Linked DNA regions of Alligator mississippiensis. The protein of the gene in region 1 interacts with the protein of each later gene in a biochemical or structural test. Links are inferred from orthologs where the notes say so. Each region holds a gene or a part of one and is shown on either strand. Other genes may lie near its edges. The genes, in order: GSK3B, RICTOR, KLF5 and LRP6.

Region 1 (7,236 bases):
CCAGTCTGCTGTTTCTTTATGGGCAAGTCCCTGCCTAGTCTTTGACCTCAAAGAGCATAAACATCCACACACCAATCTTTCAAGAATAAAGGAAAGTTTGCATCAAAGGCTAAAATGGTCTTGTGACAGCTCCAGTTCTGGGTCTGTTTCACATACAGCCACCTGCAGAAATACTGATTAACACTGCCTGCTTCCTATTACAGATCTGATTAATCAATATGAAAAAAAGGAAATCAGTGTTCCACATAAATTAAGAGCCTGAAGTATATTATTGTTCAAGTTAATCAATGAAATAATCTTATGTTGCTAAAGTGGGCAAACCTCTATGTCCCTGTCCCGCTCCCCACATACACCCCCTCATAAATGCTGCAGGCACTCTGATCCCGCAGATGAGAGGCAGGCTCCAGATCCTGAACTCCAGTATCTCTACCAGGCTCCAACTGCAGCAGGAGACATTTCAGCACAAAAAGGCAGGAATCACCAGCAGCTACATAAAGGCTTGTGATCACCTACAGCCTTAGGTTGAGGCTAAGGCTTCAACGTATAGCACAGCAATCTAATAGAGATACAGCCTTGCCAGGTGCAACTATATTTAGGCATCCAATTGATCAATTCAATAGGGATGTCAAGGTCCTTTAACAAAGCTTCCCACAGTCCTGCCAGAATAAAACTGAAGTAGCGTTGAAAGTTGCGTTAAATCAGGGATACGCAAGAATGTTATAGCTTTGAACGTGCACGCAAATCAACAAATTCCAAATTAAACACGTATCATGGATAATTAGACACAGAGAGAGGCCTTTTTCCTCCAATATGGAGGAGGTACCTTGGATAAGATTTCTAATTCACCTCAAAATCCTCCTGCCACAAGCTGAAAAATCAAGGACAATCACGTATTTAAACCACTTGCCCAGTTCACAAGATGCACATAACACTTCTGTTCAGAATAAACCACAGGCCTCAGCCTTAAGAATAAATCCTTCAAAAAGGTGAGAAAAGCATCCTGCATCTCCAACAAGGTCTTGATACAGTCACAAACCACACAGTAAAGAAGTCTTTCTGCCTCCACGCATTAAAAAAATTAAATAAAAAAATTGAGCCCCATGCACAAGCTACTGCAGGGACGAACCTCCCGCCACTCTCCCTTGAAAGCCTGCACAAAAGGTGTTCACACCCAACTGGAGGTGAACCGGTATGGCACCCAGCACCCGTTTCCACCGTGGCAACCAACAGAGCTTTAAAGGCATCTCCAACATGAACCAGTCATGAGTGCAGCTTCAAGCTGGCAATTTTTTTCCTCTTTTTTGGGTGGGGAAATAAAATAAATTTAATAAATAATTAGCCAAAGAGTCGAGCACACAAATAAGCAAGTCATGAAATAACTAATTAGGCAAATAATTGAGTGCACAGATAGGCAAATGATTATTGGCCAAATTCATCTGATTAAGTGCACAAAGCAGCAAATAACTGAGTGCACAAATAGACAAGTAATCGAGTGAATTAGACAAAAAAAAAATCAAGTGCACAAATAAAGCAGATCGGGTATGATTGAGTGAATTAGACAAAAAAAAAAAATCAAGTGCACAAGATCAAGTGAATTAGACAAATAATTGAGTGCAAAAATAGGCAAATAATCAAATAATTAAACCAAAAAAAAAAAATCAAGTGCATAAATAAGCAGATTGAGTGCACAAATAGGTGAATGATCAAGTGAAGTAGACAAACCGAGAGCAAAAATAGGCAAGTAACCACATAATTAAGACAAAAAAATCAAGTGCACACACAAACCAATAATCGAGTGCACACATAAGCAAACCATCAAGTGAATTAGACAAAAAAAATCGAGTGCACATATAGGCAAATCATCAAATTAATTAAACAAAAAAAAAAATCCAAGTGCACGAATAAGTACATAATGAGATGAACCAGACAAATAATCGAGTGCCCAAATAAGCAAAGAATGAAGTGAATCATCAGACACAGGATGAAATGAATGGGGAAGGGAGGACTAAGGAGGCGGCGGGCGCGCAGGCCTCAGACCCCTGGCGGGCAGAGGCCGGCCCCGGGGCGGCCGGGCAGGGCGGAGGGGAGCGCGCCCGGGTCCCCAGTCCTCCGGGGCGGGCAGGCCTTGGCCGCGCGCCCATTGAAGGGTGCCAGGGAGGCGAGGCGGGCCGGGCCGGGCGGATACTCACTGCTGACTTTCATGCTGCCGAAGGCGGAGGGCTGCTGCACGGGCTTGCAGCTCTCGGCGAACGAGGTGGTGCGGGGCCGGCCCGACATGGTGCGCGGCTGGCGGCCCCGGCGGGAGCGCTGCGCTGGGCCGGGCTCAGGCGCCGCGGCGCGGCTGCCGCATGAAGCGCGGCGCGGGGCGGCCCCGTCCGTGCCTCCGCGGCGGCGGCGGCGGTCCCTCGGCGCGGCCTCACAAAGCCATCCCGGCCCCGCCACTGCCCGCGGGTGCGCTGCGCTGGGCCCGGCCGGTCCCCTTGCCGCCCCTCCCCCGCCGCCTCTTCCTCCTCCTCCTCCGCGGGCGGCGGCACGGAGCGCCGGACTACTTGGCGGAGGGATCCCGCAGGAACAGGATCCGGCACGGGCGGGCGGAAGAATCTGCGCGGGGTGAGGCGGTTGCACGGCCTGGCTCCTCAGTGGCGGCGGTTCCTCATCGCGGGCGGGGCGGGCTGCAGTGCGGACGGTTCGCGGCGGCAGGGCGGGCCATGTCGGCGGGGCTCGGCGGCCGCCCCGCGGGGCACATAGGAGCCACCCGGCTGGCGGCCTTGGGCGCTGCCCTTTGTCCGCGCTCCTACTACTGCTGCAGCTACCGCTGTGCCGCCGCCCTACGCTGCGTAACAGCCGCAAGCGGGCTCCGAGAATGCCGAGCCGAGCGCCGCGCGCTCCCACCCGGCCCCTCACGGAAACAGCCGAGTGACCTCGGAGCCCATCCCGCCGCCTCGGAGCCAATGGGGGAGCCTCGGCGGAGATGGCCGAACGCTTCGGATCCAATCGCATGCGAGAGGTGGAAATGGACGAAGCGGCTCGGAGCCCAAGGCCGGCCCAATGGCAAAAGGCTGCCGCCGCCCTAGCAGCTCGGATCGGAGAGCCAATAGTGAAGGGGCTTCTCCTCCGGGCGTTTCCGAAGATGGGCGAAGAGGAAAAGCCAATCAGATGCTGCCTTACTCCTATTCCCCGGGTTCAGAAGGCTTCCACCTGATACTAGGGGGAGGTGCGGAGCTACGGAGGCCGAGATTGGCTACGTTTCGCCACTGTGATTGGCCAAGGGGGATGAGGCGGCCTGAAGACGCCAGCCAGCCGCCTGTGCTGTGCCAATCCTCAGCCGCAGCCTGGCTGCAAAGCGCGTGCCCATTGGAGGGGCGGAGCCGGGCCGCAGCCGGCGTCCTGTAGGGGGTGGGGGTGGGAAAGGAATCCAGCCCATTCATTCCCGTGGGGAGGGGGATGGTGCATGCGTCATCTTGCCCCTCTCCCCCACCCTCCCCGTGACCTTAAGAGGCTTGCGGGGAGGGGGTGTGCGCTCCAGGCCGGGGGTCAAGGTCCCCCTCCCCAAACACGGCCATGGGGGGGGAGCTGTCTCCCCCAGCCCCACCCAGGGCAGGCTGGATCGTGCCCCAGCCACCACTGTCCTCAGTGCTGCCCATGACCTTGCCACAGGACAACCGGGGTAGCACAGTGCCTCAGGGCTGCCAGTCATGGGCTTTGACCTTCCCCCTGTGCCAAGGAGGAGAGAAATAATAATATAAATATTTTTGCCCATAATTAAAAATCCAGCTTGGGCCATGCCACCTGTGCCCCTCACAAGAGTTGGGGTGTGAGGAGCACAGGCAGCAAGGCCCTGGGTGCAGAGTGACGGCTGGCCAAGCCTTGCCATCAGAGCTGTCCTTGCCCACAACCTTCTCCTCTTCTCACAATATTGATGGTTTCAGGATCGAGTGTGAGAGGGGGCAGTCCAAGGCTGTCAGCCTAATGTTCGCTCCTGCTTTCAAGGTGCCTTGGGTCACCTGGAGTTGGATGGGACCAGGCTAAAAAAACTTCAAAATAAGATTAGGAAAACTTCAAGATATCCTGAAAATAGGTTTTTGTGTGTTAAAGTGCCCAAGGCTGCATACCCCCTGGAAAGGTATGAATCCCCCTGTGATCAATTTCTAATTCTCCTAAGTCATAAAATACCAGACTTTAAACCTGTCACTGCAACTGCACTGAATACTGCTTTCCCTGGGCAGTGGGTAATTTGGGTATAGATGTTCCATTTATTTGCTTGCAGGTTATTTTTCAATAAAAAACCCATCATAGGCATTTGAAGCAGCCGATAGCATATGTCTGGAAATCTGGCAAGAACCCAGGAATTACTGGGCAGAGGGGATATGAGAGGTGGTAAAAGGTGTGTGGGGCGAGTTGCAGAACTACATGGCACCACACAGGTATCCATAGACCTGTTAGTACCTTTGGCCTAGACTTGGCCAAAGGTACTAACAGCTCTATTCCAAAGCAGAAAGCTCACTCAAAACAGTCTGGTTCAGCAGTTTGCTCACTCCCGTACAATCTAGCCAAGGATGCTATAAGTTATCTGGACTCTCCAGTAAATGACCAATGTCTTTACCTAGACCTAGAGACCAGAGAAAGTTCATGAGATATAAGTTAGGGCTGGAAGGAACCTCATGAAACCATCTCCATCTCCCTGCTCAAGGAGGGCTTATTCCTAGCTAAACTATCCCAGCTCTATGGCTGTCTATCCTGTGCTTGAAAGTATGCAGGGATGGAGATTCCACAACTTCTCTAGGTAGCCTGTTCCTATGTATGACCACCCTCGTAGTCAGCAAGTTCCTCCTGATCTCCAAACTAAATTTCCTCGGTTGCAGATTGAGGCCATTTCTGTGGCCTATCCACTATAGCCACAGAGACTATCTCCATCCTCTCTATAACTGTTCTTCTGGTAGTTGGAGACTGTTGTCAAATCCTTCCTCAGTCTTCTCTTTTTAGGCAAAATAATCCTAGTTCTGTCTCAACCATACATAGAAACAACAACACTATTGAAAAGCTGAAAGGTTGATGCTTTTAGTGTATGTTGTAGGTTTTTAGTACTAGTGCATCTAGTAGCATAACTAGGATGGGGTGACTAAGACAACTACCGTAGGCACCAACTTGAGAGGGGGTATGGAAAAAAACTACCACTGAAACTGCATAAGTCACATTGGCAGAATGGCGGCAGTCAGAAGTCACCACTGCCCCAGGTGCCCAGCTGCATTGTTATGCCTGTATACCATCCTAAAATCTCAGCAGCAGAGCAGAAGTGCCGCCCCATGCCCAGCACCCAAACCTCTCCTTTAAGAAAAAGCTTTCCTAAAAAACCCCCAACACCCCTGCTATTCAGAGCTCAGCCATCCCAGAGCCCCCAGCTAGAAATTCACACTTTCCTGTCCCCTCTCAGTAGGACCAGATATGGGCTGCAGATTGGTTTGGATCCCTCAAAAACATGGTTGTTTAAAACTAGGAATTTGAAAGCCTTATACTCTCACACATCAAATGTTGCTAGTTGGCAAAGAGACAGTCTAAAAATTGTTTGCTCTATGTGAACTACAGTAACATTGCTTGTTACTTGTAGCAACAGGAAATAATAAAAGAAAATCATACTGACTTGAGATATTTAAGTTGATTGTATCCATTTTAAACATGTCCCCTTAAAAACTTTATTATAAGTTTACTGTCTTATGATAACTGAAGCATCAGCCTCATTGACCTATGAAATTTAAGACTAGACCTTAAAAACTCTTTCTCTTGCTTATTCCAAATTGCAGCGCTATCTACCTATCAGAAACCCCAGCCCCTCTTTCCTTCCCAAACTGACTTGTACTGAATTCCAACATTTTCATCCATTTCAACCCTACTTATCCCACATCAGCCAACTACATGCAAAATACTCATTACAAAAATCTACACCTGGTTATTTTCACCAAGCTCATCCTGCCTAAATCTAACCCATAACTGAGCTATAGCCTCTACAAAGCCAATATGCTGCAATCATAGCCCCAGCCATTCAATTTTCTGAAGTCCACTCTAACTTTTGGGGCATTATCGTTGATTTATTAATGGAGTATTAAAGGACTGGATGGGTGTTAGGCATCTTCAATTTCTGTTCCAAATACTTACAGCATAGATTATTTCCACTGTTAAAATTCCTACCACAACACAATGATCCCATATTCATTTTAGATCTCCCTAAGAACTAAAATCAATTCTGGAAATTTTAAGTCAGCTAATTATTGTTTATGATTGAACACTTTATATTGATAACACAGTATTGCCAACTCCACTGTGCGAAAAATCATGAGACAAACTTAAAAAATCAAGAGATTGTTATGTAAATCATTAAATGCCATTTTTTAAGTATGTGCGGGGGGGGGGGGCGTTATTTGTGAAGGTGTGGGGGGGCTATGGATATGAGTGTGAGGTTTGGAGCCTGGGGAGGGAGGATCCCCTCACACCCTGGCAGGATGTGGAGTACTGTGGATCAGGAGTGAGAGGCAGCAGCAGGGCTGAAGTGGCTGTGGCTTGGGAGTGAGGGGCAGACACACGGGCAGACAGGGACAGCACTCAGCTGGTAAGTGGTGGGGGAGGGCAGATTGAGGCCCACCCCCAGGGAGGGAGGAAGTAAGGCAGGAGCTGGTGGGAATGGGGCCCTAGGGTTGGGGCAGGTTGTGTGGCAGGCAGCTCATCCAGAGGCACGGAAGGCAGGGGGTGCAGCTCAGCTCCCTGCAGCAGTGTACACTCCCCTCCACAGATGTACCAACTGGATGCTTTTTACACACACTGGAAGGAAAATCCCAAAATGTTAGGGTTGTATCCTGAGATCGCAAGTTAATTTGATTTGGAAATAAGGAGTCTCATGACTGTTTCATGAGAATTGGCATTACTGATAACATTGTAATGAATCTAAGGTTCTTTTTGTCCTCTTTACTTAACAAAACAACATGATATTGGAACCTGAAAGCCATACATAACAAGTTGCTTTCAAAGCAAGAATAGTTAGGAGGTGTAAGCCATTCATATTTTTCCAAATTGTAAACATGAAGGACTCATTTATAAATGAAAATATTTAAATTAAAGATCTTTCATTTCATTCAAGCGTCAGAAAAGCCTGTAATATCTGCAGATTTGGAAGATATTATTTAAGTTGAAGTGTTATCACTGTAAAATGCCATAAGGTGGCACTGAATTGAAAACTGGTGTGTGTTG
Region 2 (6,837 bases), on another chromosome or scaffold:
GATTGGGCCCTTTTAAAGGGCTCTGCAGCCATGTACTTGTGTTAGGTCACAGCTGTAGAGCACTTTCTGGGGCCAGAGTTGTCACTTCTGTCCATTCCTATTGTTATCCAAGTTATCAATCCCAGGATTTGGAGGAGCATGACAATGATTTTAAAGGTTAACGACATTTTAAAGGAGTCAGCTTTTTACATTATAGGCTTGCCAGAATCCCAGTGAAGACAGGGTTCTCATGTGTTTATAATGATCTGTTATACCTAAGATTTAAGAGGTATTCCACTGTCCTCCTCAACTCTGATCTGGATTGATTTTGATAATTAAAAATTGCTTTCATGACATTATAAGGTGATATTTTAAGTCTACTGAATCAATATTAGTGTTTTTAGGGAGAAAGTATCACAAAGGACAATTTAAAATCTTTCATATATCAATCAGTTTCTAATCACTGTGGTATTTGATAAATAAAATAAGATTTTGATATGTAATGCCAGGTTTGAGTGAAGCCACTGCTATTAGAAGAGAGGAAGTGTGAGTGTGGGAGAAGAGGGACTATGAGACAGGATGATTAGCTTTGGTTGTAAAGCTATTTTTTTTAAATGGCAGACCCTCACCCTTGCCTTTCAATTTGACATAGCTTCTATATGAACTCCTGGAGGTTGGAAGGCCTTGAAGGCAAGAATTGTTTTTGTTTGTTGTTCATCCTGACCTTCAGGGCACAATGTAAGGCATGTTTGTTGATTTAGACCTTTGCCTGAATGGGACAAGTAAAAAACATGGTGTTTTTGTGATAGGAGTCCCTGTGATCAATGGGGGAGGGGGGGGGTTGGTAAAAGAAGTGTATTTTATAAAAACAGCTAAAAGAAATGCATCAATGGAGGATATTGTTGACATGTAACCCATGATATCACTTAGGAACAAAATAAAATTTTTCCACCCTGGGTTGATTCTAAGGTATCGTGTTCTCATTTCACATCTCTAAAAATCAAATGCTCTGAAAAGCATATTGCACACAGAACCCATGGATGTACACATGCAACTGAATGAGTGATGGATGTCTGATGAAACTAGATGTGTGATGGATCAAGGGATGTATGTATGTCTCATCTTAGAGCAGTGGTTCCCAACCTTTTTTTGTACCAGGACCCATTTGTACACATCAGTGGCCAGTCCTGACCCACTGCCCCCTGCCCACAGCCCCCCAGTGTGTGGGGCAAGGGAAGGTGTGCGGAAGGGCAGGGAGGCAAGCAGCCCCTCGCTGGCTGGAAATCTCTGCCACCCTGCAAGGGAAAACTCATGGTTTCTCACATTTTTCTCCTTAAAGGAGAATCTATTTTTATAGTTTGTTTGCGACCCTTTCCTGTATTCTTGTCTCACTTTTGGGTCACGACCCACAGGTTGAGAAACACTGGCCTAAAGCACACACAGAAAAAGGGAAAAGCAATTGGGGAAACCTCATTAAAAACCCCCAAATAAAAGGGACAAGTCATTTCACAGGACAGACCAACATGTCCCTGCAGGGGCTGAATGATGCCAGAGGAAGTCAGTGTCCAGCTGCACAGCCTCCTCAGTAAGGGGAGCCCACATAAGAACTTCCATTTCTTGGGTCAAACCATAAGCCCCCTCTTTAATAAGAGAAGCCACGAAGGGCCTGACACCTTGCTTAGTCCCTTGTGTCACACAGGAGCAGATACCAAGTGACAGGACACCCTCAGCAGGGTCAAGCCTATACTCCATCCCTGTACTCCACGCTGATCCTGCAAGCAATCTGGGACCTCAGCTGGTAGCTCCTCCAAAGCTGTTTCTACTGGCATGTATCAGGTGTGCTTCAGATTTCTGTAACACCTGCCTTTTTGTGAGCAGAGGGAGACCCTGGCACACGCCTGTCTCAAGTATGGCAGGCTGCAGCCCCTTCATCACCTCCTCCAAAGCCTCCAGCTGAGGTTCTAGCTGCACTAATCCCTGCATCTTTTTGTTTACATGCTCTTCATCCCTGGCCCCACCAAATCCCAGGACCTCTTGGCCACCATCCTCCTGGCCCTAGCCAAGCTAGCCATCAACCTAACCAGCAATGCCATATCTAGACTTCTGGCGGCTTTACAAAAATAGCTTTACAACCACAGCTAATCATCCTGTCTCATAGTCCCTCTTCTCCCACACTTGCACTTCCTCTCTTCTAATAGCAGTGGCTTCACTCAAACTTTTAGTATCAGGCCCCCCTTCGCCAGAGATACTGATAATAATTGGACTTGTTGCAAAAGTCTTTATTTCATCTGTGGTACTGATGTCTTTCAGTAGCTCATTCTCAACTGATAACATTGTCAGTCCCATATATGCGCAATAGTAAAACTTTTTTTTGCAATTGTAATTTTTTTTTCATTTTCAGGCCCCCCTGTCTGGGCCCCGGGCGGCTGCCTGGTTCGCCCATGCCTGCGTCCAGGTCTGCTAACCAGGAAGAAGGTTTTGTCCAGGGGGACCCCCAGTGACTGCAGGGCCACTTTCCTATCCCTTATCCTCTCACATCTTTGGGCGGTTTGACTGGGCAGTGCCCACTGGCTCCTTGGGTGGGTCGGAGGCCCAGTGGACACTGTGGGGGTGCTCTGCTTGGTGCCCCCTCTTGGAGCACGTCATCAACCTTTGACACTCACTCCCGCTCATTTTGCTGTTCATCTGTTCCCAGTCAGTGTTGCGAGATGTAATCATCATATTTGTACAATATCTCAACCCTTGTATGATGTACAATCAATAACACTAAGGGTGCTCAAAATACAGGGTAATTTTTAAAGGATGCATTCAGCAGCCATGTTGGTCTGAGATGGAAAGACATCTTGGTTCAGAGATGATCCCTTTTATTAGACCAAGAAACTGCAAAAAAATTATCTTTTTCTGCAAACTTTCCAGCTCACACGCCCTCCCTCAGGCTCAGGGAAAATTAAAGATGGCAAAAAGTCCCCATACGTAGGGAATTAAGAATTTTTTTAAAAAAAATTCTGTAGTGCAAGCTGAATGAACCAAAACAAATTCCAAATCCAAGTCAGTCCAGAGCCATAAGTTGCCCTACTACCGGGATATACCCTCCACCCCCATCTGGGGCTTCAGATGGTTCCAAAACCCTTGGCGAGCATCCTACCTGCAGGGTGGATGCCCCCAAGTTTCAGTCGCCCTAAGGCCATAGGAGCAAGCCAGGGAGCAGCCTCCCCTTTCCATAAAGTGGGCGTAAAGCCAAGACCTCCTCGCTCCAGCAGCTCGGTGCGAGGTTTACTATACACTACCTCTGCAGGTCCTATCCCCCTGCCAGCGGAGCTGTCTCTCCTGGTGCGGCTAGGAAGACAGGCTCCGTGGCCACGGCGTTTCCCCTGCCAGGCAAGCACAGGCTACGCTTGATCTGAGCCCACTGATCAGAGATAAAGAAAATAAAGAAATGACACGGGGGAATTTTTAAAGACATTTGTGTTTGCTGCCAGCACTTCCTGACCACCGCTGGCCTCGAAATCAAGAAACGCTTCAACTTGGACCGCCCAGTTCTCCATCGCTCATTGCTAAATTAGGGAGGAAGATAAAGAAGATTCTCGGCATATTTGTTTGCATTGCACGATCGTTTTGCAGTGAACACCATCATCCGCAGCGTCCACGAGACGGTCTCGCACTACAGACCCAGCCGCCGAAACCGCACCCACCTCGCGCTGCAAGATCTGAGCGTCCCGGCGACAACCCCCCCCCCCCCCCCCCCCGTGCCCACGTGCGCGGCGAGGCGGGGCGGGGCGGCGTGACGCACCCGCGCTAGGTGGGGCGGGGCGGGGTCGCGGCTCTCGCGAGAGCGCGCGAAATTTCCGGTGTTGTGACTGCGGGCCGTAAACATGGCGGTGAGTCTCCGCGCCCGCTCGCTCCGGCACCTCCGCATCCGAGGTAAGCGCCGGCCCGGCCCGGCCCGGCCCGGGGGCGAGCGCCGCCCCCGCCCCGCCTGACCCTGTCGCTTCTCTCCCCGCAGGGCGCAACGACAGCGGCGAGGAGAACGTCCCGCTCGATCTCAGCCGAGGTACCGGGGCCGGCGGGCGGGCGGGAGCCCCTCCCCTCCCCGGGGCCCGGCCCTCCTCTCCTCTCCTCTCCTCTCCTCTCCTCTCCTCTCCTCTCCCCTCCCCTCCTCTCCCCTCCCCTCCTGCGGCACTAACGGGAAGCGACCCCGCCCGCTCCCGGCTGCAGGTCGCCCGGTCACACCCCAATGGGTCCCTTCCCCGTCCCTCCGCTCCCCTGGGACTTGGGAGGCTGGTACTCGGCAAGGTCCCTCCCGACGCGTGGAGGTGGCCGAGGTGGTGTGGGCGCCCGCGGGCCTTCCCCGCCACGCCGCGCAGGCGACCGAGCCCTTCGCTGTGCACAATCGCGGCCTCCCGGGTGTAAACCTTGCCTCAGCGTGGCGGGGAAGGGGGGGGGGGGGATGTAGGGGCTTTCTCTGTGAGGGTTAAAAAATAAATTGGCTCCGAGAGCACAAAGGTAACTTTCATTTTTTTTTGTGCATGTGCGTGCGCGTGTGTGCGTTTGAGCCCTGCGGGTTTCCTTTGCTGCTGCAGGTCGAGAACTTGAGGCTGTTTCAGCCTCTGTGGTTGCAAGGAGTTGAGTGTTTTGCTTCAGAAGACCCAGTGGTGTCGCCACCCTGGATGCACGCGGCTTATCAAGAAATCCAGCAGGGCCGAAGAGATGGAAGCAAAGGGACCAAATAGGCCCAGCAGTGTAATGGAAGTAGGGTGCTGGTCGGGAATAACTTAAGGCAGCAGTTCCCAAACTCTGAAAAATTGCGCACCACCAATTTAAAACAATAAAACCTTAAGTACCACCAGCAGATTTTCTCATATAAAGTAATTATAATAAATCTGTTAACATGTACCAGTGACAGGTTGTCTGCGCAGTGCTGGTGGCACCCGTACCAAAGATTGGGAACCACTGACTTAAGGGATCTGTATGGCTGTCAGTTAAGTGTCATTGTGACAGAGCAACACCAGAACGTTTTCTAGTATGAGCCCTGTCATGAGAGATTTATTGTAAAGCAGATCTGTTTATTTTCAGGGTTTTGACCCTTCTAATTGAGGAAATGCTTAATTTTAAACTCTAGCTATTAATACATCATATAGATGGGTTTCTAAAACTGAACTGGTGAGAATTTTGCCAGCGGATGAGCTGCTAAGTCCCCTACCCTGCAAACATGCATGTGATCGTTTCACCTGCAATATTTGGGTTTCCTTGTGCATAAGAGAGAATATGTGCAAGCTTGTAGAATTGGGCATTTATGATTCCCATATATGCCCAATAATTTCTTGTAACTGCATAGTTTTCTATTTATTTAGGCATCTTCTACAGATTACTTGCAAAACCCTATTCTTCTGTCATTATAAGCCTTGTATAAGTTTTGAAATACTCTACTCACAACCTAAAATGAAGTTGCCATTTTCTGAGAATGGTGAAACCTTAAACGTTAATACCCCAATTCTGAGAAAACAGTAGTGGAAGTGACACCTGTTTCTTTCATATTGATTGATAACTTTGTATCGCATCTATAAGTCTTTTTAAAATTAGAGATCGTATTTTGCAATGCTCTGAGTCTGCTACTTCAGTTTTGGGTGCTGCTGAATAGAGAAGTTATTTGGCTGTGTGCAAATTTAGATACCCGTTTTTAATGTAACATAATAGAAAAAAGATGCCGTGTGCTCTGGTAATTTTAAATTGGCAGATATTTTGCTGTAAACCCCCAATTAGAGCTGCATATGGGACCTCTTTGAATTTCATTTGTACTCCCTGCCGAAGGCATGTAGTTTTGAAATAAGGATCAGGTATTAATGTAATTTACTCAGGGTTGGCAACCTGTGTCTAGTAGGCCACATCTGGTCCATGGAGGTACTTAATCTGGCTAGAGGATGCGGTGCTTTGGTGGCATTTGGTGGCAGGGAACTTCTATGGGGAAAAGCATCGGGGGTAGGCTCACTCGGTGTGCCACTTTGGAGAAAATCAGTGGCAATGGCTGGGTCCTAGTGCCCACCCGCATGCCAGCTTCTGTCAGAAACTGGGTCACTTTCGCCTGTCTCCTGAAAAGACTGCTGACCTCTGTTTTAGAATGTTTTCATGTTAGAAACATGTGCTAGGCCTAATGTTCCTCCAAGATGTACTATTCCCAGTTTATAGAAGAGAGAACCAAGGCACCAAGAAGCAAATCGAGTGTGCCCCAGCAAGACATCACAGCTAGTTATGTAACTTGAAATAGACATCATTGCATACAATATGAATGTTCATTTTCTTCCTCCACTTGTATAGCAGCAATTTTATACATAATTAATTTAATGATATTTTACTTAGAGAAGGATCTGTATACTTTGTTATAAAACATAGTTTTAATGTCTGTCTGTCTGTCTGTCTGTCTCATATTGTATTGCATATATGCCATAGTTGCTGCAAAACATTTTAATAATTTGATACTCTTTTAAATGAAGCTTTATTTTTCAGAGAACTAAATATGAAAACCACTGAAATAAAGTATCTGATAAATTAGTACATTCATGTCTATGTACTAATTTACCTCTGTTTATGAGCATCTCTTATTCCATGTATATATATGTATGTATATATGTGAATAATAACTTGTTCTAAGCAGATTTTAATTGAGCATTGACTTGACCAAAATGACAGGTAAACATGTGGCAAGGACTTGCACACAGTTGTCTTTGTGTAGCTAGGTCAGAAATAGTGCTAATAATTCAAACAGGCTCAGACTGTTTTGTATAATTTTGGCATGTCTTTCTTCCTTCCAGTTGCCTTTTGTAGTGAGATATCATAGAGTTCTTTCTATGTAAAACAATGATA
Region 3 (7,026 bases), about 140 Mb from region 1:
GTGCGTTACACATGGTCTCTGGGATTTGTACAGGCCAGTTCTGAGGTGACTAACATCAGGAAGGAAGACATTCATGTTGATGCTGTAAGGCAACCCTTCACTGTCAGTGAAGAACTGGTCAACAACTGAGGCACTGTCTCTTCTGTATTTTTTATGTTCAGGGATAACAGGAATGGGTGGAAGCTGCGGTGCCAGATATTTCTCCATTTCACATCTTGTCTAAATAAAAAACAAAACATATAATCCACATGATTTGTTACCAACCCACAGACCAGATGACACATCAGTCATGGGAGAATTCAAAAGTGAAAAAGTAAACTATTTTAGGAAAAGAGTATCAATATACAAGTTTCATCTCTTGGTGCATTAATCGACACCTACAAAAACAAATCAGAAAGTATCTCTCAAATTATTTATGCAGGAAGAGAAAAATATTTTTGAAAGCATAATCACCTAAACTATTTCCTCCTTTTGTTTGCAACTGAACAACGTGCACAAAAAGCACAGCCTTTACATCTAACTTGTTTCTGCAAGACTTGTACTCTGTTGTCACTATTATGCATGATTCTCATTCTTCTCTTTGAAATAGTAACTGTAAAAGTCACACCTTCTGACACTATGAAGGTCAACACTAGGAAGTTAGGAGTTTTAAAATATTAATTCTACTGGACAGAAGCCCCCAGCAGGTGCAAACTAATAAGCACTATAAAGTAGAGAGAAGGGAAAGACATCAGAAAGTTACTACATATCTGTAGTAAAAAAGTCTCTTGGATTGAAGTAAGGCTTCTTAAAGATCAGCAAAACCTATAATTGGTTAATAACGTGACAAACATGTTCCTATTCATGTCTCAATCCTAAGAGAGTTCTTTAATTACTTACTAGGAAATCATTCCCTTAGTGTAGTAGTGCTAGGGAATCCGTGGGTGGCTCAAGCCTGATACATTACTGGTACAGTCATCAGTAAAACATTTATCATGTACTCTCCAGTGGGCAAATGCTACATTCCCCCTTCCACTGTAAAGAGTCCAGTCATTCCAAAACCCTTCAGCACCCCTAAAACAGAATGCAGCTGACAAACCGTAAGTCTACTTAAAAACTACATTTTGAGAGCTTTCCTCAGAGAGGAAGCACACGTGCGTGTGTGCACACTCTCCTCTTTTCTTTGATCTAGATCTGCCCTAACATGCCAGGCTACATTTTCCAGCTCTTGTTTACAAGCCAAGGGCAGCTTGCTTTGAAGTCAAGCATATTTATTCTTTGAGAAGATATCATTGAGCCACAGACTTGAAACATCCTTGCACTCAATATTCATCATTATAAATTCTCAGGAAACAACGTTTCCCCTCCCACCCTCCCCACTTCAATCTCCCATAGGGACTGAATCAGTCCAGTTGAGTTCCAAGGGAAGGGCTATCTATTCCTAGCAAAGGACTACGCTTAAAAAAAAAAAAAAGAACTGAGTTTTGGGAGCAGGTGAGTTCCTGCATAGCTTACCAAAGACTTTCCTGCTCAGTTCACACTGTGCCCTATACAGTATCAGTCACATACACACATATGCACACATTATATTATGCATGTGCACGGGTGTCTACACAACCGCACAATATTATAATAGTATATACACATGTACAGTACACATATAATATTTAATTTTTATACATACACACACACACACACACATATACATATATGGTGTATGTATACACACACAGTGGCACTCGCACAATATTATATATTGTGCATGTGTATACACACACACAGGTGTATGCGTTTGAGTGCCACTGTATATGGCACTGCGTGAACTGAACAGGAGTGTGTGTACATATACACAGAAGTTCAGTGTTTCGGGGGTGCTGGTTGTAGCCTCTCCCTCTGCCTGAAGAAGGGTGTTTATACCCAAAAAGCTTATGACTACCGTGCAAAGAACAATTTTCCCAACCATTTAGCTGGTCTAATAAAAGCTATCACATCTACCCAAAGAACTTCATCTGCCTCCATACGGCTGTGTAGACACATACATATATGTGCACACACATATACATACGCATGTACATATGTATACACACAAATGTGTGTGTATATGCGAATACACATATACATACACACACACGTTTCTGTGTATAAAATATATCGGTATTTGCATATACACATATACATACACTCACACATATACACATACATGTTTCTGTGTATATAATATGCATGTATGTATTTGCATCTATCTACACACATACATAGACAAACGTGTGTGTATATAAGACATATGTATGTATTTGCATATACATGTATGCATACACTCACTCATATATAACGTACATAATCTTGCATGTGCACATGTGTGTATGCGAGTGCCACCGGACACACTCATAGTGTGCGTGTGCCCACACCCCCAAGCACAAGCCGCTCCGGCGGCCCCTAGTCACCCCAAGTGCCCGGCCCGGCCCGGCCCGGCCCGGCCCCAGCCCCCGGCGTTGCCGCCGCCCCGCCAGCGTCGCGCGGGCCCTTCCCAGCCCCTTTCCCGGGACGCGCAGAAAGTGCCGGGCAGCCCGGCCGCCCCTGCTCCAACCTGACTCCATGCGTGGGCGGCAGCGCCAGGCTCGTCCCTCGCCAAGTGCAAGGGCAGCAGCTGGAGCTTTCCCGGCGCTGCTGCCAGCGGCTGATCCCCCGCGCCCGCCCCGGGGGTCCGGCGCCCCCCGCCCCGCAGCGGGCAGGTAGGTGCCCGCAGGCCCCGCCGCCGCCTACCTGCACCAGCTCCTCCGCCCCGCCGCTCCCCGCCTGCTGCTGCTGCTGCTGCTGCTTGAGGTCGGCGGCGGCGAAGAGCGCGGCGCCGCGCGCGCCCAGCAGCGGCTTGAGCTGCGCGAACACGGGCTCGTCGGACTGCGGCGGCTGCATGGACGCCGGGCGGGCGGTCGTGGCCAGCACCCGTGCGGCCATGGGCCGGGCGCCGCTCCCTGCCTCGGCGCCGCTCACAGCGCCCCCGCCTCGCCGCGCATCCGCCCGCACCTGGCCCGGCCCGCGGGAGCTCCCAGCTGCTGCCCGCCCGCCCGCTACTATTTCACCTCCTCCCCCCGCTCGGCCCGCGCAGGGGGCGGCTCGGCGCCGCACTGCCGCCTATGGCGAGCGGGGCCGGGCGGGGCCGGGGCGGGGCCGGCCGGGCTGCGAGGAGAAGCGGGTCTCTCCGCTCCCGCGCTCGCTCCTGCTCCCGGGCCCGGCCGCGTCCGGAGAAGGGGCCGGTGCCTGTCAACAAGTGTCGCCCTCGCCTCTACAGCCCTGCTCCTGATGGGATCCCGTCTGCGCCGCCCTTGTCAAACGCCGCGCCCGCCTCTTCTTCTTCTTCTTCTTCCACAGGCTTCACGTCAGGGAAACAGCCGCGCCACTGTCTTTTTCTTGGTCCCGTCTGGGACCTGGAAACCTGCTGCTCAGAAATGGCAGCCTGCACAGCCCGCAGAGCTCCCCTTGAACACGGATGGGACACAGCAAGAGCCAAGGGAGAGGGAAAGAGAATCGTTTCTCTTGCTCTTCTCTCCAGAGGAAAGTTCCTATCTATTCACCTCTTGCAGCAGACATGATCTCTTTTCTTAGACCAACAAGATTTTTGCTAAATAAATAAATAAAGTCCCTAATTCTATTCATCTGGTTTGTATCTGCCGGTCTGTCAAAAACAGCGCCCCTCCTAATGCACAGATTACACAAGGGAAAGAATTCCCTCCAATTTGTAGGCCGAAGGGGCGGAAAGAAGGGCATTATGTACATGAAGGTGTTATGGAAAAGCACAAGCTGTTTGTTGGGAAAGGCCATAAAGGAAATTGTACTTGCACCTTCACTTCTCCCAGCCAGGTTCTGCAGTCCACGGTTTATGTTACGATAATCACAGATCCCAAGGAGGTGGTGAGAGCCAGCCACCCTGCCTTTGCTGGCAGGCTTTTGTTACATATCACAATCACTGCTCTCGCCAACCTCGTGCTCTCTTCTTCAAGCACGACCTGTAAGGGAGCCTGAAGGCAGAAAGATAATTACAGAATCAAGAAAGAGTTTGACCAGTTCTCTTACGCAGATGCTTGGTTTATCTACGTTTGGAGGCTTCATACTAAAGTAGATTTGGCCACTGCCTTCGGTCCTTTAGGATTCAGCCTGATGCTGCTAATTCAGAGTTATTTCAATCTAAATCCTGTCCCATATACTCAGCCTCACCCAGTATCTACTCCTAGCTTTCCTTTCCAAAGTATCTCTAGTGAAACTGTATTCTCCATTCAAACTTTCCAACTGAGGGATTCCCTTCACCTGAGCGCTTTTTAAGTTCATTTTTTTAGTTATAGACTTGTAACTCTTCATGTCTCTCATATTCACCTTTTAAAACATTTACTTACATTTTGATTTTGACTTGGACTCATAAGACTCCAAACTCTACATACAAGGTCTGAGCGTACCCCCCTCATAAATCAAATTAAAAGTTAAATATAAATTGGTCAGCCATAGCGTTAACAATGCAGTGTTTTAACAACATGTGAACGCACAGACCAGTACTTCACTCTCACCTAGTTTTTCTCAAAGATCGGATGGAACGTAGGGCCCTGGCAGAGCTTCAGGTGTAACCCACACCTTACAATATATCACCTATTTGCATTCATTTATGTAAATCAAACATCTAGACTGCTTTAAATATTCCCTACTCTTGTTGATACATGCGCCCTAGTTACATGTTTGCCATCTACATGTTTAACCGAACATTAAAAAGATCTTTTTAAAAATTATTTGCTTCCTTTTCATGTTAAAGTCCTACTCCTAAAAATGTTTTGGCAAGTGCCAATCTTCATGCACCCAAGCAATTCCAGTGAGAAAATATATGTAATACGTTTAGAAGCGGGCTCGAAGTATGCTAAATTTAAAAATGACAGTATAAACTAAGAACAAGCAAAACCACCTTTCTTTGTTACTAGGAATGGGCCTTGTGCTCCTTTTTTTTTTCAAGGAATAGTCAGTGGAAGATTAGTAAAAAGTAAATAAAGAAGACACAACGTATTTTCTGTTAGCACTTAATTACCATTACCAAAGTCACTTCAATGATTGTTCAGAGTCACTTTCACTGATTTATCTGACCAATCCACTGCTGCAAACTTTAGATTACAGGTAAGGTAAACGAATATTTAAATCCAAGCAAACAATTGATTGAACATTTTTTAACTCCATTACCATCAGATTTTTTAAAAACATTGAAACCTGTGTTTGATTTTATAAAATTGCATTTAATATCACTAATAAACTGACAGATGGCTGGGTACATTTAAGGAAAAAATTCCTAAAAGAAATATTAGTTTGTAGTCAAATAATGTTCAGGGAGACCCAACTCATACTTATAGTAAATATTTTAGAGTATTTCCATTTGTAACTGATTATCGAGCTAGAAGTTGAGAATCAAATTATGCTTTAATAAGCAAAGCTGAATAAAAGCTGTATAAAATCTTTAAAAATGAGCATAGTGAAGTATATTTAAATAAGAATGTTAGTGTAAGCATCTCCTTGCCTAGGCATATGCGGCAATGGTCTGGGTAACCCCTCATGCATACACCATAATCCAGGAGGACTGACAGTTGCCGAAAAAGGTGTAAGCATTAAGAATTAGTGAAATTATTATAAATAACCATTTCTGTGTTGCACAGATCCCTGTTCATCCCACAGAATATAACTAATTTACCACTGAACAAAAGTAAAAATTAATGTTTATTGCAGCATTAGTCATGCAGATTGGGGTATGTGACAAACACCTTCCAATGTGTTTAGTCACTGATAAGAAAGGCACAATGCTTTGCACTCAAAAAGGCATTTTCAGATTTAGTAAAAAAGGGTTAAAACTTTTGAAGCTATTCAAGTGCTCCAGGTTTTGAGTGGGCATTGATCCACACATGGTGAATGGATGTAGATTCAATGACTTTGAACTTTCTTATTCTTTGCATTCCTCTTTGCTTAGTAGTGCCATACCCGTTAGGGAAGACAGGAGAAAACAAGAACAAATGTCAAGTTTCAGGCAGTTGGAAGTTTGGCAGTAGTTAACAACTATAAGCACTGCCTTGTGGGAAAATGGGTAGGGAGCAAAAAAGTTTAGGAGGGGTGGATGTGGGGGTGGGGAAGCTTTTAATTTGTAGATCTCCACAGATGTAATCCTAGAGTAGGCCACACGTTTCACTGTCCTTGCAAGGGGAAAGGTGCCAAAGTGTGTGGGGGCTGCATGTGCATTATTGAGGCTGTCAGAGCGGGGGTGGAAAGACACGGATAAATTGCTCCATAATAATGAGGTGAAGGAAATCTGAGGACCTCAACAGAACTGAGCCAGACTTTAAGCCACACACAGATGTCCAGTCACTTCAAGAGCTGTTAGCAGATTCAGGGACCTATTTTCAATTAGTTTCGGTCCATTTAATTTGATTTTTCATGTAACCTAACTGGAAAAGAGGAACTATATATTTCTTCCTCAAGTAATATCAGTAGTCACCTGAATTTTTGGCCAGCTGTTTGAATCTCCCCTTCCATACAGCCAGTGGGGAAGTGGTGTACAGCTGCAGAAGGCTAAGGAAGCATGGGAGAGGACCTGGCCCCAAGAGTCTATACGTTCATAAAGACAACTGTGATTGCAGAAATCCATGGATGTGCAAACTTATGCTGCCCTTATCAGGTGTCTCTTGTAGGACAGACAATCATTAAGCTCACAGATCCTCTGTACACAACTACAGAGGGGAGATCTTTACATAAGGGTGAGCTATCCTTAATCAGCTTTTTAGAATGTTTAGGGCACGTGGCAGAGCAGTCAACCACAAAAGAAGAGAAAACCCAAGAAGAGGCGCTATTAAAGGGGTAATACAAAAGAATACACTTATTTTTTTACAATAACAAAAAATCTTTGAGAGCTGTATCTAAGGGGTTTCTACAGAAGAAAAAAACTGCAAGGTGTGCAATGCAGAGCTTTTATCTTCCTTTTCCTTGCACAATATATCGAAACAGAACCAGCACTCTTACCTCAGGGGACTTAGCTTT
Region 4 (7,926 bases), on another chromosome or scaffold:
CTCCCAACTACACAGTTAGTCCAATAAAAATAGTTACCAAACAAATTCTACATCTCTTCACATAATGAGAAAAAGCAATCACTGAAATGTCAGTCCCCCAACCAAACACTTCATTTCTTACAGAACTGACCCAAACCACAACTGCAGACCTGTTCAGTATTCAAATACTGCAATATGTAAAGCCCATACATGATTTATAAGCTTTCTATTCAGTCAACTTTTGATGCATACCTAGCAGGGTTGACAGGAAAGTTAAGTTTGCAAATGTAAACTTAAGTGGTATCATCTTCCTTGGCTACTGCTGCCTCCATGCAGCACTGAATAATCTAATAATACTCCAGCAGTTTCACAGCTACTATTAAAATGCAGTGGGAAACAGTGAAGCTGACACGAACCAAGTCCATCACACTCCTCTGTAGTTTGGAGAAAGCTCCAAGCAATAGCAGGCACTGCTGCTGTTCAGAGAATTCCAGCCATTGGGCAGTTCTAGGATAAGGTGGACTCCTCACATATTCTCTTTCCAGCTGCCAAAGTAGGCCAGAGGCTGCCACAAGCAAAGGAACTTTTCAGTAGGCTCCAGAGACATCAACCCACTATAAATCCAACATACACTCTGCACCTGGTAGCGGGCCTGGCTTCTCACAGTCCCAGGACTGGTGAAGAGGTCCTATATATTACATATCCACTTTAACTAGTAGGTGTCTGCTATTTTTCCAAGTCTTAATCATAAGGGATTTAATTGCAACCTTATACTTCCAGGATATTGGTTTAAATTCACTCTGGGTTGGTAGGCACGTTAACAGAAATTACTGCTGTCATCTGGCTATTAGGTAGGCAAAGAAAGCATGTGTTCCACTGCATCTTTTGCACATCAAGCATCCTTCACATCTCCCATGCTGTTAGTTTGGCACATTTCACAGTGCTGAGTTCACAAAGAAAGAAGTAAACACACATATGCCAAACTTCCCCTTTACCTGCATGTATAAACTTAATCATACCTCTAACATTCTCAAGCTGGCAACTGCTTTTGCCTCATTAAGAAACTGCTGACACCTCTTGAAAACTGAATACATTTTACTTGGAGCCAATTCTGCTTGCATATCATATGTTGTTTATTAGAAAGGGCATCTGCATGAAAATTCAAGCTTTCTTTCTTTCAGCACTCAGCTAGTTGCTCCTGCTGCTTATAGGTATCCAAAATAACAATTAGCTGCTGTGGAAATTACTGTAATGTCACTGAGAGTAAGACTTCAGGTGGGAAGAGAAGCAGCAGGAGCAGATGAACTCTGAAGAAACAAAGATACTGTTTTGATGCAAATGTCTTTAGCAACAGACAAAGATGGGAGGAGGGGGGGGTGACAATCCAGGATGATTTACAAACTTAATGTCTTTCAAAAGTTTCTCCCTAAGAATCACAGGGTTCATGAAAACTTGCAAAGTATATGCAACTGTGTGCTAATTTGAAAAAATGACAGTCATGAGTGCCAAAATCCTCCTCCATTTGCCACTATAGCGAAAGGAAAAAAAAATAGCCAAGTCATAAACAAAGTTAGAGCTAGATACATTTGCATGAAGAAAACATGAATAAGAAAATGCTGTATTCAGAAAAGTTTTGGTTCATTCCTATTCCTGAGATCCAATCAAACTTTTCTAGCACAAGTAGGGCATGAAATGTTACACAGCTCATGTACCTAAGTATAACTCTCCCTCCAACAGGATACAATATGGCAAACAGATGCATGGGAAGACAAGGACTGCCGTGGCGAAATCTTGCTTTTCCAGAGCACTGAGCAACTGGCTATCAAGCACTTCCTCCAAACCAAACCACCTTCCTTCCAGTTCCCATCAAAACAAACTCATTAGTGCCAGCTGGCCAGCTTTTAAGTAAAAAATGGGATTGCTTTTCCCCCCCAATAGTATCAAAGCCTCCCCCCCTTCCTTATTAACTGTGTAAAAGAGTAAATTAAAAAAAAAAAAAAGATGCCAACTAGGTGCCTCCTCCTAACCAACAGAGATCATTTCAGATGAGCTGAAACAGTTATTATAGTCAAACGTACAGCACAGAAATCCCTTGGCTGCAGTTTTGTGCTCCACAGCGCAGGAAGGGGGGGAGGGGGGGGAGTTCAATTAAAAACGTTGAATGGCAGCCAACTGCCAGCTTTCAGAGGAGCTCTGAAAATGCAGAGCATCAGTCACTGCAACCCACCGCTTCCGGACCACAAACTTCTTGCAAGTCCCAGGACAGGGTCAGAACCTGAAACGCTTCTCAGGGCAGATCAGCAGGGCCTGAAACAAGTATCAGGACAGATGTGAGGGGCTTCTCAGGACAGGAGAGAGAAGCCTAACGCTTCTCAGGACAGATAAGGAGGATGTGAACGCTTCTCAGGACAGCTCAGCAGAGCCTTAAACACTTCTCAGGACAGATGAGAGGAGCTTAACGCCCCTCAAGATGCTCAAGAAGGACCATAAACACTCCTCAGGACAGAGCCGCCAGGCCCCGCGCTCCTCAAAGAAACCCATCGTACGCTGCTTGCCGACGGGGCGCTTGGTTTGTTGTGGGGGGCGGGAGTAAAGCTCAACCCAAGGCCGGCCTCTAGACCACCCCTTCCCCCTCGGCACGCAGAGGACCCCATGCCCTGCCCACGGCCCCCGCCCGAGGGGAGCGGGGACACGGAGGCGAGAAGGGGCCCGCGCCCAGCCCAGCGCCACCCTCAGGGGACCCCCGAAGCCCCTCCGGCCCCGGCCCCAGCCCCTCTCCCTGCCGCAACATGGCCCCGGCCGCCTCACCTCGCGCGAGGGCGCAGAGCGCGGCCAGCAGCAGCAGTCTCCGCGGCGCGGGCCCCATGTCCCCGGCTCTCACGGGCGGCGGCGCGGGGGAGGCGGGCGGCGGCACCCCCGCGGCTGCGGCCGGCTCATGCTGCGGCGGGCGGGCGGGGGGCCCCGCGGCGCGCTCGCGCTCCTGCCCCTGCCTAGCAGGCCGCCGCCTCCGCCGCGCCGCCGCGCCAGGGCTGCTGCAAAGCCCCCATCAGAGCGCCTGGCCCACCCCCGCCGTGTGCGCAGCGCAGCTCAGCGCAGGGATACGGGCCCCGCCTCCTACCGGCGCCCCGCCCCGCTTGTCTCCCTGCAGCCTCCAGGCCCTCTCCCTGCGTGCGTCCGTGCGCTGGGCAGCCGGAAGTGCATTGCTTTGCCTGACACAGCGTGGGAGTGCATTGCACGGCACTGCACTCGGGGGTTGGAGTGCATCGCATTGCATTTCACTGCCCTCCCCTCCCCTCCCCTGCCTTGGAGTGCGTTGCATTGCATTGCATTGTGTTGCCATACAGCACGCTACATGGGAGTGCATTGCATTGCCGGACGCCACGCAGCGTTGGAGTGCTCTACACTGCACCTCTGTGCACTGGACTGCATCGCGTTTCACTGCCCTATACTACACTGCAGTGCATCACATTCTCTGATCCCAGCTGTCTTTCCTGCTGGGTGCAGGTCGGCGGGACACGACAGTCTTCCAAGGCCCCTTCCTGCCGCGTATTATCTATGAATCCATTCACTGGAGTGCGTTACCCTGCCCCACATTGCATCGCACTACACTGGAGTGCATCGCATTTCACTGCTGTACATTACTGTACATTGGAGTACATCGCATAACACCACCTCCGTCCACTGCCCTGTCCTACACCACACTGTGTGTAGCGCGTCCCGCAGCCCCGGCTCTTTGCAAACCTCACTGCACAGGCGCGGGGACGCATCCGCCGGCGGCGGCATACCAACGGGACTATTTTCTTCCTCGCCTCCCTTTTCCTTCGGGGAGCGGGATAGCCGGGTCTACTTTCGGGAACAGGACAGCAGCCGGAGTCGCAGCCGCCGCGTCACAAAGGGCGGCCTGATCCGCTGCCAGTGCTGCAGGTGGCCCGCGCGGCTCCCCTGGCGGGGAGGCAGCGGCAGAGCGCATGCGACGCCCCCGGCAGCGGGTCGCGGGGTCCCGCTGGAGCAGCCGCGACGTGTCCGACCTCGGGGACTGGGGTCTCCTTTGTGTGCCCTGGGCGTGAGGGGACGCAAGGTGGATCCCGGGACGAACCCAGAGACTTCAACTAGGAATCCCTAGGATTCAAAACCTTCTGCCTTGTGGTGGCCCTTCGCAGCTCTTGGGGAGGGAAAAGCTGCCCTGTTATTTTTCCATCTTCAAAGCAGAGGTAGAGTTTTCCCGGGGGGGCCTCCAGTCTGAAAACAGGGTTGAAAACCGCTGCCGGGGGTGGGGACAAGGAACGAACTGGCTCAGTCGTGTAGTGCTCGAGTATCAGTAGCCTGTCTCTCCTCCCCCCCCCAAAAAAAAACTTGCATTGTACAATAAAGCTATGATCTGTGTGCGTGTCCCCCGTGCGAACTGGCAAGCGACAATCTTGCCTTTCCTCATTGCTTACCTTAATCCTTTTGTCAGGATTTTGCTGCTTAATTGCAGTAATGTTGCCTGATCAATTGCTCACACAAATGTCCCTGTTTGCTTTTTTTTTGGTCGCCATTATTTTTCCCTTTTTACTTTGAAAGTGGTCAAAAAGCCCAAATATAAAACAGAGAGGCTATGTTTCATACCTAAACACACTTTCTGGACCATTTCCCCAAATAATGTCCACTGAAATATATCCCTTGCTTGGAAAACTACTATAAATAGATTTTCACAGTTTTGTGAGGCACAGTATATTGGTTATCCATTTATAAGAACTTTAAAATACTTCTTTTCCAAGGTATTCTGGTCTTTTGTACTTGGATCCACTGACACATTTTCTGTTCATTAGTTTCTTTCATTCACATTACAAGCTCCATTTACTGATTCATACAATGAGACATACATAAGGACTTACCCACCACTTTGTCTCTTATCTGCCTTGTAACAACCATTTAATAGAACACAATTCTAATACACAAACGTTTACGGCAGAAGGTGAGAGAATATCACATTAAATGGTCATAACATGTTCAGACCTATCAGAAACACAGAAAAAAGAATACTTGCTCAACAAATATTTCATAATTGCTTATTCTTTCAAATTATTATTTATCACAGGAAATCAGCATCAAAACCAGATTAAAATTAGGTATTATGGATCTGTCAAGCCAGGCTTCTCTTGGTCTGCTCTCTGGTACCATGTAAACCAGTACAGCCTGTTCTGGGTCGGGTTGTTGGCAACTAAACCGGTGCTCCCACCAGGCTAGCCTGAGTGAGGAGTATGTGCGGACACCCAGCAGAAATAAAAACAAGACTTGTCAAAGGGCAGATGAGCTCCCTGTGAGACAGCGGCCATCCCATACCTGGAGAGGAGATGGGTGCCACTATGTCACTTTGCCTGAAGAATCACCAATAATGCACAGCATCTAAGGTGCCCCAGTGGTCACAGTGACCTCTGAACTCACTTGACTTGATTATGGATCTTGCATGAGGCCCCAGGTCCTGAAGCCGTGTGATTATATCTGAATCTCAGCTTCCATGGAAAACAGTTCTATAAAGTAGGTTGTTTCTAGTTTAATGACTGCAAGGACAAGCTTGAGAATATAAATAGTGTAAACGAAAGTAGTGATGTCTGCTGGAGCTGGATCTACATTACAAGATTTTCCTATCAGAGTTAAGTCAACTAGAAGCATGTAAAAAAATAAATCAAGCCACCTAACCAACATAGTGATGCCAGAAAAAATACCCTGCTTGTTGATGCTTGTATGCCAGCAAGTGTCCTTTTGCTGGTGAGGCAGTACCTGATGTGTGAAAGGAGGTACAGCTATGCCACCAGCCAAATAGATTTCATCATCAGTCAGGGTAGATACTGGGAAACGCTGGAAATCTCTGGGACTTAGAGAGGGCCCCTGTTGCCATTGCAGGGTAGATAATGACACCAAATGTTGCCCTCTGTCTCTTAATGGGGAAAATGGCTTCCCTTGCCTCTGCCACTGCATTTGGAGAATGCAAACCTCAGGGGCAGAGCAGGGATTTCTGCATGCCATGCTGCACTGTAACAGGGAACCCTAGCCCTGTTACTGGAAAGCAGGGCAGCCCCTTTAAGACCAGAGCCTTCAGGGCACATCCTACTGGCAGAAAAGGGGTTAAAAGCTGAGTCTGGCTGGTTGGTCAGCTGAGGGGGCATCAGGTGATTGGAAGAGGGCTCAGGCCAGGACTACATAAGTGATGCCTAAACTGGCTGGGGGGGGATTAAGTTGCAGAGAGAGTGGATTCCTGAGAACTCACAAAGTAGGGGCAGCTTCATGAGAGAGCGAGCAGCTAGTGGTGGGATGCAGAGAGACAGAGACCCTGGAAACATAAGCAGGCAAATTGTCTTCTTTGCCTTTATTTTTGTTATAGCGCAGAGGCTTATTGTTTATGTTTTTTTTTAGACTGGTTGTGGCTGAGGCTGTAGGGGAGGTGGAGACCTCATTAGTGTCCACAATGCACAGCTGGAGGGCTAAAGAGCCTGTGCTATAGCAGGCACAACCATACAGGGCACGCAGCCCGGAGTGGAGGGATGCCCTAGTGCCTCAATGTCAGGTCCTACCAAGTGGGCCTAGGCTGGGAGGCCAAGGTATAGAATAAGGGGTAAAGTTGGGGAAGGCTGAGGCCCCAACAACTCAGCACCACAGGGGTGCAGTGTTAAAGAGACTGGGGAGCCCAGTGCCGTGGTATAACGGGCCAGGAGCCCAGAGTGGTTTGTTGAGCTAGGGCCTCGAAGTCAAGTCTTAAATCGTGGACCTTGGCTGGTAGGCCTAGCCAGATAAAAAGGAGCAGAAGCTCAGGAGGCTGAAGCCCCCACAAATGGATGGTATACAGGCAACACCTATAAGGCATAGAGCATGTTAAGGGAAGGTAGAAGCATACAAAGAGCCCTTAAGGCTGATGCTCGTCACTGCAAGGTGTTCTTGAGCTTCATGACCCTACTGGGAAACCCTGGGGCAGCTTCCTCTTCAGAACCCAAAGAAACATCAGGACCTGGCAGGTAAGTGAAGCGGGGGTCTGTTCCCAGCAGGAAGGGCAAATGTAAAGAGACTCAGGAGTGTCCCAGGCACCCCTAAAAGTCACTAAGGATGGCATTCTATTACCTGCACCTAGGCACCAAGTGACCTATATCCAGCCCTGGTCAGCACAACTCAGCATTGCAGGAAAAGCAGAATGTTATCTGAGCTAGGTCCAGAAGAAATAGCAATTGCATAATGTTGTAGTGTAATTTAAATTGTACAGTCATAATTTAAAATAAGTTATTAACCTTTTAAAAAGAGGAATGCAAAATCTGTAGTGAATTGTATAACACAAGGGGGGAGGAATCTCTCCCTGAGCTATCGAGCCCAACCCCCTTTACCCCTTCCACCAAACCATAGAAAATTAAGGTTGGAAGGGACTTGAGGAGGTCATCTAGCCCAACCCCCTGCTTAAAGCAGGGCCATCCCCAACTAGATCATTCCAGCCAGGGCTTTGTCGAACCAGGCCTTAAAACCCTCCAAGGATGGAGATTCCACCCCGTCTCTAGGTAACCTGTTCTAGTACCTTACTACACTCCAAGTGAGACAGTTTTTCCTAATATCTAATCTCAACTTCCCTTGCTGCAACTTGAGACCATTTCTCCTTTTTCTGTCATCTGCCACCACTGAGAACAGTTTAACTCCATCTTCTTTGGAACCACTCTACAGACAGGTAGTTGAAGGCTGCAATTAAATCCCACCCCCTGAGTCTTCTCTTCAGACTACATAAGCCCAATTCCTGTGGCCTTTCCCCAGAAGTCACGTGTATTGGGACCCAGAGGCCTTGAGGCTTTGGTTTGACCCTTGTGCTTGGCTCAAGCTGTATGCCTAGCTTGCATTGTGGTTGAGACATGCACCCAGTGAAAGGAACAGATGGCAAAATACTGTCTCTGACTTAAAATTAATCAGGAAGCTAGCTAACTAAACGGAATAAAT

What was found.
Region 2: of the proteins of GSK3B (region 1) and RICTOR, one has a biochemical effect on the other in vitro, tested with the Homo sapiens proteins (2 studies listed by BioGRID). The link is inferred for Alligator mississippiensis from reciprocal best matches to the Homo sapiens genes GSK3B and RICTOR.
Region 3: of the proteins of GSK3B (region 1) and KLF5, one has a biochemical effect on the other in vitro, tested with the Homo sapiens proteins (2 studies listed by BioGRID). The link is inferred for Alligator mississippiensis from reciprocal best matches to the Homo sapiens genes GSK3B and KLF5.
Region 4: of the proteins of GSK3B (region 1) and LRP6, one has a biochemical effect on the other in vitro, tested with the Homo sapiens proteins (2 studies listed by BioGRID, with this or other methods). The link is inferred for Alligator mississippiensis from reciprocal best matches to the Homo sapiens genes GSK3B and LRP6.

The regions. Positions count from the first base shown.
Region 1 is NC_081824.1:253,049,561-253,056,796, forward strand, and holds the start of GSK3B (glycogen synthase kinase-3 beta), read right to left. Parts: upstream 3,019-7,236; 5' UTR 3,001-3,018; coding exon 2,190-3,000; intron 1-2,189. UniProt on the Homo sapiens protein: Constitutively active protein kinase that acts as a negative regulator in the hormonal control of glucose homeostasis, Wnt signaling and regulation of transcription factors and microtubules, by phosphorylating and inactivating glycogen synthase (GYS1 or GYS2), EIF2B, CTNNB1/beta-catenin, APC, AXIN1, DPYSL2/CRMP2, JUN, NFATC1/NFATC, MAPT/TAU and MACF1.
Region 2 is NC_081826.1:276,976,014-276,982,850, forward strand, and holds the start of RICTOR (rapamycin-insensitive companion of mTOR), read left to right. Parts: upstream 1-3,820; 5' UTR 3,821-3,851; coding exon 3,852-3,900; intron 3,901-3,982; coding exon 3,983-4,030; intron 4,031-6,837. UniProt on the Homo sapiens protein: Component of the mechanistic target of rapamycin complex 2 (mTORC2), which transduces signals from growth factors to pathways involved in proliferation, cytoskeletal organization, lipogenesis and anabolic output.
Region 3 is NC_081824.1:389,872,024-389,879,049, forward strand, and holds the start of KLF5 (Krueppel-like factor 5), read right to left. Parts: upstream 3,014-7,026; 5' UTR 2,935-3,013; coding exon 2,743-2,934; intron 220-2,742; coding exon 1-219. UniProt on the Homo sapiens protein: Transcription factor that binds to GC box promoter elements. Activates the transcription of these genes.
Region 4 is NC_081827.1:137,072,731-137,080,656, forward strand, and holds the start of LRP6 (low-density lipoprotein receptor-related protein 6), read right to left. Parts: upstream 3,005-7,926; 5' UTR 2,846-3,004; coding exon 2,788-2,845; intron 1-2,787. UniProt on the Homo sapiens protein: Component of the Wnt-Fzd-LRP5-LRP6 complex that triggers beta-catenin signaling through inducing aggregation of receptor-ligand complexes into ribosome-sized signalosomes.